Linked DNA regions of Arabidopsis thaliana. The protein of the gene in region 4 interacts with the protein of the main gene of each other region in a pairwise test. Each region holds a gene or a part of one and is shown on either strand. Other genes may lie near its edges. The genes, in order: UBC32, PAP3, AT1G65690 and AT4G31250.

The links.
Region 1: the proteins of AT4G31250 (region 4) and UBC32 interact in a protein complementation assay, tested with the Arabidopsis thaliana proteins (one large-scale study listed by BioGRID).
Region 2: the proteins of AT4G31250 (region 4) and PAP3 interact in a protein complementation assay, tested with the Arabidopsis thaliana proteins (one large-scale study listed by BioGRID).
Region 3: the proteins of AT4G31250 (region 4) and AT1G65690 interact in a protein complementation assay, tested with the Arabidopsis thaliana proteins (one large-scale study listed by BioGRID).

Annotation. Positions count from the first base shown.
Region 1 is NC_003074.8:5,795,196-5,800,640, forward strand, and holds UBC32 (ubiquitin-conjugating enzyme 32), read left to right. Parts: upstream 1-1,734; 5' UTR 1,735-2,100; coding exon 2,101-2,211; intron 2,212-2,699; coding exon 2,700-2,831; intron 2,832-2,929; coding exon 2,930-3,014; intron 3,015-3,153; coding exon 3,154-3,317; intron 3,318-3,834; coding exon 3,835-4,272; 3' UTR 4,273-4,552; downstream 4,553-5,445. Other genes in the region: NRPB9A (RNA polymerases M/15 Kd subunit), read left to right, coding at 129-287, 424-504; AT3G16990 (heme oxygenase-like, multi-helical), read right to left, coding at 742-1,057, 1,153-1,370, 1,457-1,588; REM22 (AP2/B3-like transcriptional factor family protein), read left to right, coding at 5,265-5,369. UniProt on the Arabidopsis thaliana protein: Accepts the ubiquitin from the E1 complex and catalyzes its covalent attachment to other proteins.
Region 2 is NC_003070.9:5,056,686-5,061,753, forward strand, and holds PAP3 (purple acid phosphatase 3), read left to right. Parts: upstream 1-1,897; 5' UTR 1,898-1,994; coding exon 1,995-2,282; exon of another isoform or gene 2,283-2,700; intron 2,701-2,787; coding exon 2,788-2,944; intron 2,945-3,040; coding exon 3,041-3,148; intron 3,149-3,244; coding exon 3,245-3,372; intron 3,373-3,675; coding exon 3,676-3,804; intron 3,805-3,898; coding exon 3,899-3,966; coding exon of another isoform or gene 3,967-3,970; exon of another isoform or gene 3,971-4,080; coding exon 4,081-4,303; 3' UTR 4,304-4,455; downstream 4,456-5,068.
Region 3 is NC_003070.9:24,430,718-24,434,962, reverse strand, and holds AT1G65690 (Late embryogenesis abundant (LEA) hydroxyproline-rich glycoprotein family), read left to right. Parts: upstream 1-1,797; 5' UTR 1,798-2,064; coding exon 2,065-2,527; intron 2,528-3,025; coding exon 3,026-3,321; 3' UTR 3,322-3,546; downstream 3,547-4,245. Other genes in the region: LSM8 (Small nuclear ribonucleoprotein family protein), read left to right, coding at 135-186, 266-318, 410-500. UniProt on the Arabidopsis thaliana protein: Plays an important role in the abiotic stresses-induced abscisic acid (ABA) signaling and biosynthesis. Acts as a positive regulator of ABA-mediated seed germination inhibition. Functions downstream of ABF2/AREB1, ABF4/AREB2 and ABF3.
Region 4 is NC_003075.7:15,178,100-15,184,005, reverse strand, and holds AT4G31250 (Leucine-rich repeat protein kinase family protein), read left to right. Parts: upstream 1-2,068; 5' UTR 2,069-2,254; coding exon 2,255-2,924; intron 2,925-3,202; exon of another isoform or gene 3,203-3,357; coding exon 3,358-4,044; exon of another isoform or gene 4,045-4,131; coding exon 4,132-4,805; 3' UTR 4,806-5,081; downstream 5,082-5,906. Other genes in the region: AT4G31270 (sequence-specific DNA binding transcription factor), read left to right, coding at 285-715; AT4G31260 (uncharacterized protein), read left to right, coding at 1,219-1,413.

The DNA.
Region 1 (5,445 bases), on a different chromosome or scaffold from region 4:
GTTATTTGCAATTTTTTAAGCTGCATTATCAATCTTGTTGTTACAAATTGACAGATTAGATTAGATCATGTAAATGGGTTTGTTGTCCTCATCTCAGAATTTATACTTTTTGTGGCACTGACTTGCAGGAGGTAGCTGATAACAGCTGTGTGTACAGAAACGAGGTTCATCACTCTGTAAGTGAGCGAACTCAGATCTTAACAGACGTGGCTTCTGACCCTACTCTTCCCCGAACCAAGGCTGTGCGTTGCTCTAAGTGTCAGCATAGGGAGGCCGTTTTCTTCCAGGTATAACTCTCTTAAGCTCCATTATTTATTTAACTACTTGGTTATGCTGTATCTTCACTGTTTGCTTCCCCAAAACATTATGCTCAAATTCTGTACACCGCTTGAGGATTTAATGTAGCTATCATTGAATGTGCAGGCTACGGCTAGAGGTGAAGAAGGAATGACACTGTTCTTTGTCTGTTGCAACCCGAATTGTGGTCATCGCTGGAGAGAATAAAGAGCTTTTCGGTTTCAATTGGTGAGTTCTTAAGAGTTTTAGGAGTTGATGTAGTTACCAGTAAGTGTAATATGTGGAATGACGGGAACAACCTTCTGCCCCAGTCAGAGACAAATCCGTATTCATGTAATCTGTTATGAAACCATAATCTCAACTTGTGTTTCACCAAACATAAAGATTGGAACTTGTTTCTCTTTGGCATTTAGAGGAAATGAGAAATTCAAACCCAAACATTAGCTACTGTCCTCCACGGCTCATCTCCCAGAAGGCAACCTCTAGTTCAAGAACTCGTACAAGTACATCTTCAGCTTCACCGAGCACCTCACCGGAGGCATTCTCCAGACAACGTTCGGCAATGTTCTTGACAGACGAACAATACTGTTTAAACCCGTCATTCCCCCAACGATGACAAGCACCGGTAAGCTCCACCGGAGTTTTGTTCCCGTCTTCTAAACAATGAGCAAAGCTCTCTTGATACACTGCTTCAATTGCCCAGAAAGCTGTCATAATCACCGGATACTTCACCTCACTGCTCATCAGATCTTCCAAAAACCTGAATTAACCAGAAACTCCGGTTTATTTGCTGGTTCCTAATTTCATTTTCGAGTGTGAGAAATCTATTCAATCAGCATATATGAAATCAATAACCTGCCATATTCTTGATTAGCTCTTTGAGGCACAACGGTCGAGAAATCAACATCCCATTTCGATCCTTCTCTTTTAAACCATTCTATTTCATCATTCAACGATGCTATACCACCAAGCACCACTTCCATATCGGAACTCTCGCCGGAATCTTTGCAAGCTCTGATCAACACACTCGCTACAAACGGCACAAACCTCCTCACGAACAGATAATCTTGCCCCTACAAGGAAACAACGTCGTTTAAAAGTCATCGAGTGAGATTTCATATTTTGCCTTGTTTTCATCAGTAATTACTAATTACAGTACCAGCCAAGTTCTGAAGGACGAGAGATCAACGGATCCGTCACGGATCGAGACGACAAAAGCATGACGTGTAGCCGCCGTATAGATCGAACGGTGCTTATCAATCCATGTGTCGATCACCCCTCTCTTCTCCATTGAAATTGCTTCTTCTTCCTTTCTCTCAAGACTCAAGACTCAAGACTCTTCTTCTTCACCGATTCACTGTCAACGCTTTGATTTTCTGTTGTCTGTGACGTGCACGTTTCATTGGGCTTTAAATTAATGGGCCAAGGCCTATTAAAGTCTCGCCACGATAGCTTAATGATTCTCCCAAATCGACGGCTGTAAAGAGGCGCTTAAATTTCTCAGATTACGTGACAGTTTCTGAACCGTTGAGATGTTTGGATGACTAAAGTTTATTAATTACGTGGCACTTACTCAGAAGCTCTCTCACGTCACGTATCCGTCGTTAAAGAGTGTGACGTGGAAAATGTTTTGGAATTAATTTTGTGTGTTTGTATTATATCACCGTACTAATTAGCTCATCTCCCGAAGCCATGTGGTAATTCTAATTTTGTGTATTTATTATTTTCTGTTAAGACGAATCGGACAGAGAGAACTCCGGCGGCGGATTGCACTTCCGGCAAGATCTCGTGGGGATAAATAAGATGGCGGATGAGAGGTATAATCGGAAGAATCCGGCGGTGAAGAGGATTTTGCAGGAGGTTAAGGAGATGCAAGCTAATCCGTCTGATGATTTTATGTCTCTTCCTCTTGAGGTAACATCTCCGATTCTAGCTTTTTAGATCGGGAATTTTGATTCGAATCTATATTTGAAATTTCCTTTTTTGAGAAAATCCCCTTGTCTTATGTTGTTGTGTTATGTTGTGTTGTGTTGTAATTGTGTATCTGTTCTGAGTGATGGTGTTTGATTTTAGGCGATCATGATTAGGGAGGATCGATATATCTTCTTGTATACACTGAATTTACTAAGTCTCTCTACTTTCAACACTCGTGCAACAGATAAAGTTTGGATTTTTGTGTTTTTATTGGAATAACTGAGTCAAGTGGGGAAGATTACGAACGATTCCTTGATCCACTCAGCTGTCATACTAGTTCTTCGTTTCTAATTTTTTTAACTGTGAAGACTTTTTCCAACATGTCATGGTCCAAATAGATTGCGCGCGATGTTATAGCTGTTTTTTACAAGTTCTTGTGTGATACCAAATAGTTTACATGATTACTCTTATCTATCTTTTAACTTCAGGAGAATATCTTTGAGTGGCAATTCGCCATCCGAGGTCCTGGTGATACTGAATTCGAGGGCGGGATTTATCATGGGAGAATTCAGTTGCCTGCAGATTATCCATTCAAACCTCCTTCATTCATGTTATTGACCGTAAGGATCTTACTCTTATTTCATATATAAAAACACACAGATGTTGCAAGTTCCATAAGAGAGTATGTATCTAAAGAATCTCTGTACTTTTGTTTCAGCCTAACGGGCGCTTTGAAACTAACACCAAGATTTGCTTGAGCATTTCAAACTACCACCCTGAGCATTGGCAACCTTCATGGAGTGGTAAAGTCATGGATCTCAAGAGACCTTATCTCTTGACTTTTATGTTGTTTCCTAAAAGATTACTCAGACACTTGTAATTTACATGAGGTTGAACTATATCAGCTCTTTTGTATTATGATTGAGCTTTGTTTCTTTTCAGTTCGGACTGCTTTGGTGGCTCTCATTGCATTTATGCCCACAAGTCCCAATGGAGCACTGGGCTCAGTAGATTATCCAAAGGATGAGAGACGTACACTAGCCATTAAATCACGTGAGACACCACCTAAGTATGGCTCTCCTGAACGGCAAAAAATTATTGATGAGGTATAGTTCCCCACTAGAATACCCTTGGGTGTTGAACCACTATGCATAATATCCTGATGAAAATATATGAATTTAGCTAGATGCTTGCTGAACCTGTAGAGTATGTGCCATACCATTGCATTGCATCATTATAAACCATAGGACTAGCTGGTGGTCAAAACGGGATCGCAATATATTATATATTAGGCTTGCATATCTCTAGCGGTTATGATTTAATGTTTGCTCTAAGAGTATCTGCTTTGTTTTAACTGCAATCACAGCTGTTATTATTCTCTCCATACAGTAAAATTTGCTGCTCAAGTCCTAACACACCATTTTACTGATTATTGTCGTTTTTAAAAAGTAGTCAGTTGCACAAATATAAAAAAAAAGACAATAGTAGTGTTAACAATCTCCTTTTGGTCTAAACTCTCGTCCCTTTCTTCATGATTTTTGTTATGACTTTAGTTTCATACCTCTGATTCATCTTCAATTTTGGAAAAAACTTTTAGTAACCATGACCTTTTAACAAGCGCAGATTCATCAGTACATCCTTAGCAAAGCAACCGTGGTTCCAAAACCTCTTCCTCTGGAATGTAGCCAAGCACCTTCCATCGTATCAGAAGCTCACTCCCAAGTTGAGCCACAGGAAGCGATAACTGTAGTAGAAGAGCGGTCCATCGCTACAACAGACACCATAGTTGATGATCAAATCATAGAAGAGACAGCTGAAGCAGTCAATACAGCAGCTAGTGTGGTTCCCGCTGCAGCACCTTTACCAGCGGTTGAAGTTGTGGTCAAAGCTTCTGTAAGTGGTGAGCAAAGGATGGCCAGAAGAGCGGCTCAGAAGCCAGTCGATGACAGACTCTTCACGTGGGCGGCGGTTGGGCTCACAATCGCTATCATGGTTCTTCTTCTGAAGAAGTTCATAAAATCAAATGGTTACAGTACTGGGTTTATGGATGATCAGTCTTGAACTCTGATGAAAGTCAATGCTGCGTTTAAGAAATGGGGTTGTGTTGTTTAATATTTTATAAATATAATTAAAGTGCATAATGGCGTAAATAATTTCTGTGTGACATTGTCTTGCAACTTAGTTGATAGATTGGATTATAGCTTGTGACCAAGTTAACAATATGTATTTTGGAATTGAACACTGACGACCGTTTTATCAATACATTGATGCTTTGTTAATAGAATTGTTGATTACCTCCACTATGTTCATAACTATTTCCCGTTTTGAGTACATGATGTCTAAAATGTATCCAAATTTTTAAATCAATAGATTTCATGGTCAAGTTTAACAATTTGATCATATATGTATGTATATGAACACACATGTAGTGAGTCGTGTGGTTTATATATTTGTGTGTATTTTCATTATAAATTACAGAAACATATTAGTTTTGGGGTATCTTCTGCACACATTAGTTTGGTGTGATCTCATCTTGTACCTTATTTTTTTACTTTTCAGTTTAGAAAAGGTTATCAACTTTGACCTTTGACTGCCATATAACGTTAAAAAGAGAAAAAGTTACCGAAGGTTCAAATTAATAAATGAAGTTGATCGTAATGAAAATAATATTTTTTTAAAAAAGAAGGGATGGTGGCAAAAGAAGCTAAGTTAAAAGTCTATCAGTCCTTATTGCTCAGGGATCCTCAGGTACTAAAACTAGCAAACACTGCTTTTGCGTGTCTTTGAAGTCAGATTTTTAACAGCAATTGTTTCATCTGCCTATTACTATAAAATAAAAAAACACTTTGATTTATGGGAACGTGACTGCTTTTTCCACTATTATAACCTTGACTCGTTTTTAATGAAAAGAAGCATACATATTTGGATACTCACTTTTGCCCATTTATAACACCAGAGAGAGAGATATAGGGATAGGGCGAGAGAGAGTTATACTAAAGAAACTTGAAGGAGAGGAGGTTCTGAGTGAGATAGAAGAAGGAAGAGAGAGAGAGATGGGTAAGAGTAGTAACATAGTTTTTGATCGGATTAAAGAAGAACGGCAGATGTTGAGCTTTTTCAAGATTTTTCAGAGGGCAGATCTATCCTCTGACTGCATGGTAACGTTGTTCTTGATATCTTTGTTTGAAAAGTGGGAATCTTTTTCTTCTTTTTGTTGAATGGGTTTCAAGTCTA
Region 2 (5,068 bases), on a different chromosome or scaffold from region 4:
CTGGTGCGACTGCTAAAATCTAAATTGTCGTCTTTAGATTAACATTTGTTTTTTTTTTCTCTCTATGAAAGTACTAAATTTTCATAGGATAAGCCATTCAAAATATCAATTACAGTGACTATTGAGTATTGACTAATATTATTTGAACTCACAACTCACCTACATGTATTAATGTTTGCATTATTTTAGTGATTGCTAAAACACATAAGTGTCACATGACATATATATCATTGTTTAGGCTAAACATATTATATATATGGTCTATATTATAGATATCGATCCAAGTCTATTAGCCAATCCAACACTAAAACAATCCTCTTGTAAATGAGTAGCTCATGACGACATTATTCTGTTTCATTTTGGAAGCATTAGCATCATTTCCACACACACGTGTTGACCTAAAAAGGCCTATATTTGTTCTATTTATAAAGCCTTAAATTAAAGACTCAAGCAATATCACATGGATCTAATATATAATCATATGTTGCATAGAAAAAAAGAACAAAAAAGAAATAGAGAGAGGTGGTTGAATGATTTAGGCTTTACATCAAACCCACTGTTTCAATAATTTTGTTAGGTGTGTGTGTGTATGTGTGAATACAGCTAGAGAGTTTCACGAAGAAGCTGGTTGGTCAAAACTTTTGACTCGAAAGGAATTGCTGACAAATCGATCAATCAATTTGCTTCAGAGAGAAAAAAAAAACACATAAACACAATTGACATCTCTCTATCTATACGGTCCGATACTAGACTTGGCGAACCAAACTAAAGATACAGTAGGACACTGTGACTGTCTAGGACCACCAGAGATATTCAGTGAAGTTTCTATAGTCATCATAAGTCAATCTTGCTGACTACATCATACTAATAGGAACTATAGTCGTAAGGAACATATATACCACATTAAGCTTGTTTCTTTTGATTAACTCCTCAAGTTGTTTTCAAAATACTCGACGAACTAGACTGAATCAGCAATAAGACCAAACATGTAAAATAAACGTTGCAGAAGTTAATGCTCATTAGTTTTCTCTTTTGTAAGAACATACAAACACACAGGTGACAAGTTTTGGCCAAGAATTACAAAATAATATGATACCTTCATAGTCATACCTCAGAATTAATGTCCTAGTCGAGAAGCAGAAGTTTGTTTTTATAGATCTTTCTTTTCATTAGAGAAATGGGTATCGGCCCAATAACATAGGCCAACCCATTTGCATTTATTTTCTCATATCCAGTAAGGATATACTTTCAAATTTTTGTATAAATGGGATTTTGATTTTTCTTTAATATGTTGAACGAATTTAGTAAACTATTCACATTATTTTATGTTCAGAACTATACTGTAAAATAACTAACGGTCAACAATAATTGAGAGAATTTGGAAGTTTTCGTTAGACTCACATCAATAATGTGACTCAAAGCTAATAATTGCAATTTCCGACAAATTTGTGGCATGGGCGTTTATGCTGTCTTCTACTCTTCTTGTATGACAACGCACATACCCGAGCTTCGTAAATTTTATTTCTATTTTTTTCAAGTATATTTTGTTTTTAAAATGCGATTTTAGAAAGAATTTGTGTGATCAGAATTCACGGTGTAATAATAGTTTGTATGCATACTGTTGTTTGATGTGTCATAATCCAAATTTAGATAATATGTTTATGTATAATGTTAGAAATAAAAATGTAGTAGAAATTTACGTATATTTTCACTGATAATAGAAATTTTCAAATATCCTTAAACTGTCAATATCCAATTTCTTTATGTTTAAAATATTTCAACAGCTAATTTTCAACCGCTATTTATTTTATTTAAATTTATCTTGTCATTATATTTCGTTATTGATAAATATCTGAAAAAGTGGGTGACAAAAAAATTACCGATTCAAATTATTGTAATAAAATTGACAAATCAAAAGATTGAAATAGAAAACAAAAATGGACTACATTTCTCAAAATGGCAAATAATTTTTATTCATATTTATCAACCTCGAAATGACCTACATATATAGAGACACAAAGATCACAACAAAATCAACCATTCCTTTCCTTATCTTCTTCCTCTTTTGCTTTTCTAATCTCTCAATGGCTACCTTAAAACACAAACCTGTAAATTTGGTATTTTACGTTTATAATTTGATTATTATATTCTCCTCCCATAGTTCCACGGCGGAGCTCCGCAGGCTACTGCAGCCATCAAAAACCGATGGTACAGTGAGCTTTCTCGTTATCGGAGACTGGGGAAGAAGAGGCTCCTATAATCAGTCCCAAGTAGCTCTTCAGGTTACTTCTTATTTTCATTTACAAGTTATTTACTATATTTCTCGCCTGTACGCATATATATAAATATATAATGCAAATTCAATAGTGTATAATTAATACGTATTACGTAAACATATATATGCGTATGCCTTCAAGAGCATACGTGATATGAGGATCAAATTTACTGGTCTTCATATTAATGCCGGCCCTTATGTTTTTATATTATTCTTTTTTTTTCTTTTTTTTATTATTATTATTCAATTTCAATATATATTACTAATTCTTGAACACCATGTTATAAGATACCATAAAAAGAAAGAAAGTCATGTTAGAGGAACTTGAAAGATTCGGTCTGTGTTAAGAAAACAGCTTTAGTGTACGAAGATATTCTACATATGATTTTTGTTTGTACTGTTGTTTTGCAGATGAACTCAATGTGGTAAATTTTATGCTAGTTTGATGTTTTCTTTTATACTGTTGTTTTTAGTTATTTTATGCTAAATTATTTCACACGAAATTTAAACAGATGGGAGAAATCGGAGAGAAATTAGATATCGATTTTGTGATTTCTACTGGAGATAATTTTTACGACAATGGTTTAACCAGCTTGCACGATCCTCTATTTCAAGATTCTTTTACCAACATTTATACCGCTCCGAGCTTGCAGAAACCTTGGTATAGTGGTAAATGTGTGGTTCAATGTGTACATTCGTCGTTGGATCTTAATTATTAAACGATATGTGGTTCAATGTGTTAATTACATTTTCTTTAACCTAAAGTTTTAGGAAATCATGATTATAGAGGTGACGTCAGGGCACAACTTAGCCCTATGCTCAGAGCTCTGGACAACAGATGGGTTTGCATGAGATCTTTCATTGTAAATGCTGGTAATTCCTCCTATATAATATTTCTTCAAAAGTTAGAAATATTTTATTAATCCTCCAATTATTTTTTTATTTTTGTTAATTTCGTTAACTGAACAGAGATCGTCGATTTGTTCTTCGTCGACACAACTCCGTTCGTCGATAAATACTTTATTCAACCAAATAAGCATGTTTATGACTGGAGCGGTGTATTACCTAGGCAAACATATCTGAATAATCTCTTAAAGGTAACAATTTTTTAAGTAAATCTTCCTTTCTTTCTTTTTTCGTCGAAATAGAATTAATATTAACTTAGGAACGTCATTATATACGTGTTTTGGGCAAAACATTCCTTTTTCTTTTGTTATGATTGGATTTTTTTATAAAGTTATGATTGGATGTTAAACGCAGCTTTTATTTTGTCTATTTTCAAATGGAATCGCGTTTTAATTAGGTATGTAATGCGATATGATTAGAGAACAATCTGCCAATGCAACTTTTTTTCTTTTTACGAGCGAGTGACTAACGAAAGCTATAATGTAATAATATAGGAACTCGACGTGGCGTTGAGAGAGTCAGTCGCAAAGTGGAAAATAGTGATTGGTCACCATACGATCAAAAGCGCAGGCCACCACGGGAACACCATTGAGTTGGAGAAACACCTTTTACCTATTCTCCAAGTAACAAAACCATTCCATTCATATAATAAAGTTTATGCACCAATAGAAAAAATCTATCTAATTAAATCTGTTTTTTTTGTTCTCGATTTACTAGGCAAATGAAGTGGATCTCTACGTAAACGGACATGATCATTGCTTAGAGCACATAAGCAGCGTGGACAGGTAGAATAAATTTATTTATTTGTTCGTTAATTATTTTCTTATTAATCAATTATTGTAACGTAAGGGTCCACGTACGGGAGGATATAAAATGTCACCATTTTTGGTTGCATATAGTAACATACAATTTATGACAAGTGGAGGTGGATCCAAGGCCTGGAAAGGAGGTGACGTGAACTACGTTGAACCAGAAGAGATGAGGTTTTACTACGACGGACAAGGTTTCATGTCGGTTCACGTTTCAGAAGCTGAACTGCGTGTAGTCTTTTATGATGTTTTTGGACACGTTCTGCATCATTGGAAGAAGACTTACAAGGAGGCGCTTTATTTCGCTTCTTGATTCCAATTTAATCGGACGTAATTGTTTATGATCGATGTACTATGAAATTATCAATATCGTACTTCGTCGAATTTTCGAATCACATTATGATATGACAAGAACATATCAGCAGCATCAGAAAAAAAAGTCAATGAAATCTTTATTGCGTAAAAGTACAGTTTCAAACAAGATATTATTGAAAATTTGTAAGATGTGAGATTAACTAGAAATACTGCATGCATATACTGTATATACATATCGAATCTAAGCATATTAAAATGTAAATATCATCCTCTCTTACGCTTCCATATTAATTAAGTTAATTAATTTTCGTTATTCTTATCCAATTTGATTAACAAGTTTTCCCGAAGCATGCGTGCATACAGTACTCTTGTGTAGTTTGTAGGGACACAAAATGGGTCCGATTCTCATCTATAAAGATAGATAATGATTTTGTTACATGTCTTTTGTCCTGTGCTCAGATTCTCTTCAATCATGTAATATATATAGATAAGTTATAGTGAATTATGGATTATATGATAAGATAAATGATATACAACTCTATGTTGTGGATGAGATTCTGTCACATAATTTCACAAGCCCCGGATCTCTCATATTTGATCGCAAGAACACTTTTGCTCATACCAAAATTATCTCCCAAAAGAAATATAATAGTCATTCTATTAAGGCTTATCTTATTTTACTTTTGGTGAGACTTAATAGAGTGGACAAAGGAATGAAGACATGGGCCACTGCCATGAACCATGGGACCGAACACACAGCTGA
Region 3 (4,245 bases), on a different chromosome or scaffold from region 4:
AGATTTAGCTAGTGATAGGTAAGTCAAATACGTAGATATTGGCAGTGTGTAATTAATTATACATGATCACCTCCTTTTTTTCGTAAGAGGGTTAAAGGTTTGATTCATGTCTGTTTTCTTGTTTACACTAAGAGTATGTCAGGTCATGTTGATACTTCATTAGACAAATGTTCTTGGATATTTTTGGTGTGAAGGCAGAGTTCTGTTAAAATGATGGATATTGGAATTAGGATTGAGACCTCTTACTATGTCTTCATCTTTGCAGGAAGGAGTACAACAACATGTGTTGGGTTTGTACATCATCAGAGGGGACAACATGTAATTCTTATCATCCATCATCATCAGTGATTTTCTAACATTGCAATTGTTTTTTTGTTTCAATAAAAAAAATGGTGTCATCTTTGATCAGAGGTGTTATCGGGGAGCTGGACGAGGAGCTTGATGCTAGTCTGGATTTTTCGAAGCTGAGAGCCCATCCGTTGAAACCCGTAGTGCATTGATTGAATATAGTTATGGTGAGAAAATCTAATTCTCTCATTCAAAGCCTAAAAACAAAGAGAAGATTTGATTGTAAACAATTTGGATAGTTTGTTTTGATGTCTGGAGTTGTCTTATTTGTGTATCCTAAGGACAAAAGCTATATGATATTTTATGTCTTAAACGTTTTGGTCGGAAACTTAAATCATACAATCTTTTGGACGGACCTAGGTTTGCTACTAGACCACAAATTCTTTGATTAGAAAAAAAACTTTTATTGTTAACCAAAATTTTATAGATATTCAAATTGCAAAAGAAAAAAAAAAGAGGAATTAGTTTCTGGTATCTTACAAATTATAATGTCGTTGCAATTTCATCTAGAAGGATTATATACATCATCAAATCTATCAACATCAACAAATGGCCGTATTTAAAACTTAGAAGCATCATACATTTTCTATAAGACAACAATATAGATATTAACTTAATATGTCATTCTCCCATAGTCGCATCATACAAGTCGTTGGTTTTGGTAATAACTCGCCAAAACCAAACACTTCTGATTTCATCGGAGTCTTGGGTCTTCTTTTACGATTCCAATGTAATATTCTTCATATTAAGTGATTTATTTCTTGAAATTTTTCATAGTAAGTGTTATCAGAAGCTTTTGATTTTTGGTTATTAATATGAAGAACAAAAGAATTGCGTTCTAAAAATTTTTCGTTGATAACGATTAATATTAAACAGAAACACTACAAATAAATTAACATCGTTGGGGCCTAGGGATTTCGAATGGAATTTTATTTGCAAAAAAAATAATAAAATAAAGCATGTTAACAAAAAAGTAAAAGAAAAAAAATTCATGACGAAATGCATGAGAACACTGCTGCATAAGTCTTAGGGGATTAGGTCAACAAAAGTAAAGTAGATCTTCATCAAATGTATTTTGACTTTATAATGTACCTATTAGTCAAACTATATGCGATCTAAATATTAAAAACTTGTATTTTCTCAAAGACAATGCGAGGCGTAAATATATGAAATTTTATTTTGTAGATTAAGTACCATTTATATATGAAATATAAATAAATCAAGAAGAGTAAACATGAAAGAGCAAAAGAGTAAATAGAAAAAATTATAGGAAATAAAAAGAAACAAATAGTAATTGGAAAATATCTTAAGTGGATATAACTTTTAGTTGTTTGATAATGTATAGGACTACAATATATGTATTTTCCAAAAAGTCATCCTAATTTTTCCATCTATATTGCAAGTAATTTGATACCTACTAATGATTTTTATTTTTTTTATTTGATGGGTTCACATCAAACTCAATTTCCATAAAAGACCGCTACCTAAGCAGACACGCAAATTCACATTACACGTGTGATGTGTTGTATGGAAGCGAATGTACTTGTTTTTCATAATCTATAGGTTCATATAGAGAAGTCTCTCCATTGAAAAGTTCTTCCCTCTTGACTTTAAAAACTCCATAAGGTCCCTACTTATATTAATTTCCCAAACCCCTAAATAAGATCTACAAACAAAGCTTCTTCTTCTTCTTGGTGTCATCAAGATTTTCCAAAAATGTCTCAACACCAAAAAATCTATCCGGTCCAAGATCCAGAAGCCGCAACAGCGCGTCCAACAGCTCCTTTGGTTCCTCGTGGTTCCTCTAGATCAGAACATGGAGACCCATCCAAAGTCCCTTTGAACCAAAGGCCACAACGGTTCGTGCCGTTGGCTCCTCCAAAGAAGAGAAGAAGTTGTTGTTGCAGATGCTTTTGCTACACGTTCTGCTTTCTTTTGCTTCTTGTCGTTGCAGTAGGCGCATCCATTGGTATACTATACCTTGTCTTTAAACCGAAGCTACCGGATTACTCTATTGACCGGTTACAGCTCACCCGGTTTGCACTGAACCAAGACTCGAGTTTGACTACGGCTTTTAACGTGACTATAACCGCTAAGAATCCGAACGAGAAGATTGGAATTTATTATGAAGATGGGAGCAAGATTACCGTGTGGTACATGGAACATCAACTAAGCAATGGTACGTCACTTTTGGTTTACTCCGGTTTGCTTTCTTTTGGTTTTTTAACGTAGGAAGGCTTCAAAATCTCACTACAAAACCGGTTTATTTGGTTGATTTCTGTTCTTTTCCTTTGGTTTGGTTCGTACACAAGGAAGACTTTAAAACTCTTTTCAAATTAGGGATGTCTAAATTTTTTTGGTTGGCTTTGGGTTTACTTTCATTTTGGATTAGGATTGTCAAATACTGTATATCTTTAGTTTCAAACAAAATTTGGTTTAGATAGTTTTTGTTCGGTTCATATTCAATAGTTCGGATATAATAGAGTTAATTCATTCAAATCAATCGTTTTTGGTAGAGTTGGATCATACCGGTTTATCCGGACTGAAAACCCCAAAACTAAACATATTTATTTATGTTGTTTGGTTTTCTTGTTTGATTATAATTCGTTTACACCATTTCAAACCGGGTCTTCTTATAGATTTAACTTCATTGAACTTTTGTGATTTTTTTGAATAGGGTCGTTGCCAAAATTTTACCAAGGACATGAAAATACGACAGTGATATACGTAGAAATGACTGGTCAAACACAAAATGCATCGGGTTTAAGGACGACATTAGAAGAGCAACAACAAAGAACCGGGAATATACCATTGAGAATTAGAGTAAACCAACCGGTTCGGGTCAAATTTGGGAAGTTGAAGCTCTTCGAAGTAAGATTCTTGGTCAGATGTGGTGTATTTGTTGATAGCTTGGCTACCAATAATGTTATTAAGATTCAAAGTAGTAGTTGCAAATTTCGTCTTAGGTTATAGATCCGTTTTTTTTTATATAATTAATATCGAGATATACAGAGGGAATTTTGTCAGATATAGTCACATACTCATATATAGTTCTCCTCTAAAGTACATTATTGTGTCTCAGACCTTTGTTGTATAATAAACTGTTGGTTTAAATTAATATATTAAAGTATACAATACTATGTACATAGGTGGAATTCAAAGTATAGTAGTTGTAAGTTTTTAAAACCAGAGCATGTCCACCACTCCACCTTACCTTCTTTTAAGCAAACAATTGGTTGAAGGTAGACTCCAAAATTCAGTTTTAACTACTTACAACTTAAATTGGAGGTAACTCCAAGATCTTAGTTATGAATTCAAATTTGCATTAGATTTACTTGTTCCAACAATTACTTCTGGTATTCTAAAGCAAAGACCAAACTCAATAAATAAACCTTATGGTAAGACATTCCAAGCAACATGAAAGAGATAATAAAGAGACATAGATATATAGAACAAACTGAATTTTTGCGAGAAGAGAGAGACATGTAGAAAAGAAACGCTAAAAGAACTTACACAAAGAAGATTCATGTACTTAACTTGTGACAGTCCTCTGTAACAATTTGAGAACTATCCTCATGAAGTAAGGTCCTGAATCAAAAGTACAAAGAAACAAATTCCTAGTTCAAGTTATATACCAAACCGAAGTCTTTGTAGTTGTACAACCAGTTTCAGGAGGAAGGCTACCTTTGAAAGGTATTGTAACACTGGCTAGAGAATGAGCATAATGTCGATAATTTTTCTTTTGATGAAAAAAGATTTAGAGAATGGCAAAAAATATAATATATGCGCTCATATTGGTGGTAAGTCATATATCTTTCTATTATTCGTTACTATATCATAAGCTTTGTATATTATTTGGCCAAAAAAAAAAAGATTTGTATATTGTAGTTTGACTAG
Region 4 (5,906 bases):
CTAGGCCTTTAAGGAATCTTAAGAACAAATAGTGCATAGACAGACTTATTCACTTCTTCAAGATACAGAATGACGAAAATTGTCGGTGTAGTTATAGTTGAAATATATGTAGAACACTTTGCTACCGTGAGCTACACTATGATTATATTGCTCTTTTTGTAGTCACCATCTTCAGGTAAACTCTGAACTGCTATATTTGGAGTTACTCGGATCAGTCCAGAATCACTGACACACTGACACTCTTCTTATGCTAACCATTTGAATCACTCTGGTTTTAAATTCAGCTTTTGTAGGATCAAAAAGATCAAGACAGCGAACAATGGTCATGAAGGAGACAAAGAAAGAAGAGCCACGGACTAGCCGAGTTCAAGTAAACACTCGAGAGAAACCTATAACTACAAAAGCAACCCATCAGAACAAAACCATGGGAGAGAAGAAGCCGGTGGAAGATATGTCCACAGATGAAGAAGAAGATGAAACAATGAACATAGAAGAGGATGTAGAAGTGATGGAAGCGAAGCTAAGTTATAAAATTGACTTGATACATGCGATAGTCGGGAGAAATCTAGCAAAGGATAATGAAACAAAGGATGGTGTTAGTATGGACGACAAGTTGAAGTCTGTGAGACAGCAAGGAGACGAGCTCATCGGTTGTCTGAGTGAAATTGTTAGTACCCTTAATAGGCTTCATGAAGTTCCACAAGAAATCGAGTGATTTACAATGTGAATAAACTATCAGTTGTAAATGCTTAGCCATGAATCGTAATAATGTTGTAGACTTGTAGACTTTCAAAAGCTGTCTGTAATCTGTCAAGTATACATACAAAACAGGGCAAAAGCATAAAAATCCGACTCCACTGGGGATCGAACCCAGAATCTCTGGTTTCGTAGACCAGCGCCTTATCCATTGGGCCATGGAGTCTTTTGTGTTTAACAATTGGAAATCGACTTTGTATAATAATTCGTACTGATTCTATACTTTCAAGCTATGCAATATATCCCAATGTTCTTTAGTATCTTACCAGCTTGTGGATTTGGTGTCCCCAAAGTGTATAAGATTTAACAATGTCATAAGTAACATAGTAAGAGGTTACATAGAATTTGTTCAGAGAATGTTGCAAACTGCAAAAAAGAAGAAGATAAATTATGGCTTTGGCACAGCTCTCGCTTGATTCATGGCATCCATAAGATGAGCCCTCAAAGCATCCGGATCACGCAATGATGGGCTTGAAGTCAAAAGTACCTGGAGGAAGAAACTCCTTGGAGAGCTTCCTCATTGCCTCCAAAGCAGCCGGTTCTATCATTCGTAGCTTATACCCAGACAAAGTTAAGTCTGAAATTCCAATTCAAGATATCCGATCTTGCGGTGGTGTTCTCGCTTCCGTCCAGACTCCAAATATATTTTCTGTCTGAATATCAATTACGAAATAAAGGGATCGCCATCCAAAACACACACATTTATAACGACCTATACAAGACGAGCGTGGTTTTAGTTTTACACTTTTTAATTAACTGTTTTATGTTTACCAAGCTCCTAATTTGACATGAAATATGGAGCCAAAAGTTTTGTAGAACAAAAAGCTGTCGTTGATAAAGGGATATTATTTCAGACATTGCAGGATTGAGTAACACACCGTTCTTTGCTCCACAACAAAATAAAGTATTTGATTGGTGATGATTACAATTTACAAGTTTACAACAAGAAAGCTTCAAAATAAAGCATTTCTGCACTTTAAAAGATCGCTAAATCTGATAGAGGCCATTTGGTTATGGAAAGATATATAAACATTACAACATAAATTAACAAAATAAGGATATCTATAAGAAAATCCATGAAACTACACTATGTTTTGGATTGCGTATATATTTTAGACTAAATAAAAAATAGCAACTAGTAATATTTGCGCGATAAATAATGTGGAATGCAATACATTTGAATTTCTTAATCATATTTTGGTTACAAAAATCTAGTACATATATAAACACACGTAATCAAGGTATATAATAAAAAATCTATGAGTAATCATACCATGGACAAGCTTACACAGTACTTGGTTCCACGTTGTTGGCGAAAACGATTGTGTGCTTTGACCTTTGCTGTCATTCACCATCAGCCGTCCTTTCATACTTCTTCCGGCAAGTCTCCTCTCATTTGATTAATTCATAGAGAAGCCGTCCAACAAATACGTCTTCCGACGTATAAATCTCTCTTCTTCCTCTCAAATCCCAAAAATTTCGATTATTTTTCACCGAAATGACCCGTGATGACAAATTCCCGATCGTATACTCTCTGTTATTGATCGTCTTGCTCTTCGTTTCTCCTATCTACGGCGACGGTGATGCTGATGCTCTATTGAAGTTCAAGTCATCTCTCGTGAACGCCAGCTCGCTCGGTGGATGGGACTCTGGTGAGCCTCCTTGCTCCGGTGATAAAGGAAGTGACTCGAAATGGAAAGGAGTGATGTGTTCAAACGGCTCCGTTTTCGCTCTCCGTCTAGAGAACATGAGCCTCTCCGGTGAGCTTGATGTTCAAGCGCTCGGGTCCATCCGCGGTCTCAAGAGTATCAGCTTTATGCGTAACCATTTCGAGGGAAAGATCCCTCGTGGAATCGACGGGCTTGTTTCGTTGGCGCATCTTTACCTTGCGCATAACCAGTTTACCGGTGAGATAGACGGTGATTTGTTCTCCGGGATGAAGGCTCTTCTGAAGGTTCATCTTGAAGGAAACCGGTTTTCCGGTGAGATTCCGGAGTCGTTAGGGAAATTGCCGAAGCTTACTGAGCTGAATCTTGAGGATAATATGTTCACCGGGAAAATACCGGCGTTTAAACAGAAGAATCTCGTCACCGTTAACGTTGCTAACAATCAGTTAGAGGGTCGAATTCCGTTAACTCTCGGCCTTATGAACATCACTTTCTTCTCAGGTATGAATCATCATCATCATCAAATCTGTTTATTTTTCTTTGATTAATTATCATCTGAACATCTTTCATATTATAATCTGATGTATATATATATATATATATATATATATATATATATATACTGGCAACACACAACATTTGTGAAAATTTTCCTAAGGACTAGACTTTATGTAATTATCACTATTCATGGGAAAATTTGAACATATTGGTCTTGGAGCCTTTGGTGAGTAGTAGTGAGCACGTTATTAGGCATTAAATTTTGCATGTAATAAAAAAAAATGTTTGCATGTAAAAGTTACAATATGAAATTTTATTTCTTCTTTTGACAAAATATTTGTGGAAAATACTCTCTTTGAAATGATTATTAGTGGGCCTATTGATAAATGGGCCATGTATGATGTTAATTAAATAATTCGTTTGGGCCTTAAAACAGGTAACAAGGGGCTGTGTGGAGCGCCATTGCTTCCGTGCAGATACACTCGTCCGCCGTTCTTCACCGTGTTTCTCCTTGCCCTCACCATCCTCGCCGTCGTAGTGCTCATTACCGTCTTTCTTTCCGTTTGCATTCTCAGCCGCCGTCAAGGCAAAGGACAAGACCAAATCCAAAACCACGGCGTCGGCCATTTTCACGGACAAGTCTACGGACAACCCGAGCAACAACAACACAGTGAAAAGAGCTCACAGGACTCCAAGGTCTACAGAAAACTAGCTAATGAAACTGTGCAGCGAGATTCAACAGCAACATCAGGAGCTATATCCGTGGGAGGTCTCTCTCCAGATGAAGACAAACGAGGAGATCAACGGAAGCTACATTTCGTTAGGAATGATCAGGAGAGGTTCACGCTTCAGGATATGCTCCGTGCATCGGCGGAGGTTCTCGGAAGCGGCGGATTTGGATCTTCGTACAAAGCGGCTTTATCGAGTGGTCGTGCGGTGGTTGTGAAACGGTTTAGGTTTATGAGTAATATCGGGAGAGAAGAGTTTTACGATCATATGAAGAAGATCGGACGATTGTCTCACCCTAATCTCCTTCCGTTGATTGCATTCTATTACAGAAAAGAAGAGAAGCTTCTCGTTACCAATTACATTTCCAATGGAAGCCTCGCTAATCTCCTCCATGGTAATATTATGGAACTCTCTAAGTGTCTGTTTATCTTCATCCAATGAAATGAGGAATCTGATGAGTTTTGTTGGATTGATTTTGCAGCTAACCGAACACCAGGTCAAGTGGTTTTGGATTGGCCGATTCGATTGAAGATTGTAAGAGGAGTTACGAGAGGATTGGCTTATCTCTATAGAGTGTTCCCTGATTTGAATCTTCCTCATGGCCATCTCAAGTCTTCCAATGTGTTGCTTGATCCTAACTTCGAGCCTCTACTTACGGACTACGCTCTTGTCCCGGTTGTTAACAGAGATCAATCACAGCAGTTCATGGTGGCTTACAAGGCACCTGAGTTCACTCAGCAGGATAGGACTTCGAGAAGATCAGATGTGTGGAGCCTGGGAATCTTGATTCTTGAGATTCTGACAGGGAAGTTTCCGGCGAATTATCTCAGGCAAGGGAAAGGAGCTGATGATGAGTTAGCTGCTTGGGTTGAGTCTGTAGCGAGAACCGAGTGGACTGCTGATGTGTTTGATAAGGAGATGAAAGCAGGGAAAGAGCACGAAGCACAAATGTTGAAGCTGCTTAAGATCGGGTTGAGATGTTGTGATTGGGATATTGAGAAGAGAATTGAGCTTCATGAGGCTGTTGATCGAATAGAAGAGGTTGATAGAGATGCTGGTGGAGGTCAAGAGAGTGTTCGATCTTCATACGTGACTGCTAGTGATGGTGATCATCGTTCTTCAAGAGCTATGACTGAGGAGTTCTCACTCATGTAATAGCTTCCATTGAAAGGCCTGTATCTCTCTCTGGTCTTTCCACTAGTCTTATTCTTCATCTAATTCTCGTTTCCTTGATATTTGTTGATCAAGTTCGTGTCTTTGTTTGTAGGTAATGAGAATTACTTTTTATTTTTTATTGCCAGGGTTATTTATTCGCATTCAGTTTTTTTCCCCCTAGTTTTAACAGATATGATTGATGAGTAAAGCTTCAAGCTTTTGTTCTTTTGTTGATTTTTTCACTTTTCAGCTATTTCCCCATTTTGTGAATATTAATTTCGTGCCATACTTTGGTATCATCTAGACGCAAAAGAATGTCTTTTATGTCCATTTCGTATTCAACTTGTCCACTTTCTGATGCAGTGTTGAGATAAGCAAGAATATAAAATTAATGGTTTTCACAAGCTTGTTGCTTTAGATATTGGGTAACCTAACCTTGTAGATGGTATATTCTTTGAGGATATTTTGATTTACTTTTACTTGTTCTTTTGAGAGAGACTTCAATAAAGTTTAAGTTTATATCTTTTTTTTTTCTATTTATATTTCCTTGTCCCCATGTGATTTCATTTATCCCCTTTTCTTGGAATTTACAAGCTTAATCAACCGAGAGGCATATCATCAATAAGGATTAAACCTGTGTGGAAATTTTGTTACAATCTACTCTGTATTGAAACTTGTTTCGGTATAGTTTCCTCGTATCAAAGGTTATACCACCATCTCTCTGGTATCAGGTATGTTAAGTTTTGTTTATTACTTTTCTCAACAGGCCATCTGAGACAGTTCATCGTCTGTAAACCCTGTTATAATTGGTCTCTGTTTCAGTTTTTTAAAGTTGTATGTTCCTTCAAGTTTTGTTCTGGGTTTCTGATGTTTTGTAACTGGTCTTGATATGTATTTCTGTATGTTTGATCATTTCATGTGTTCATGAAGGGATGGACCTTAGTTTTTTTTTGATCCAGAATAAGAACTCAGGTTTTACTGTAGAACTGTATAGAACATCTCAGTCTTCACAAGTAGTACTTAACTACAACACATATGCTCATTTCTTTAGAAGTCTTTCGAGCTGGAATTAGCTTGAGCCGTTTTGGATATGTAATAGCA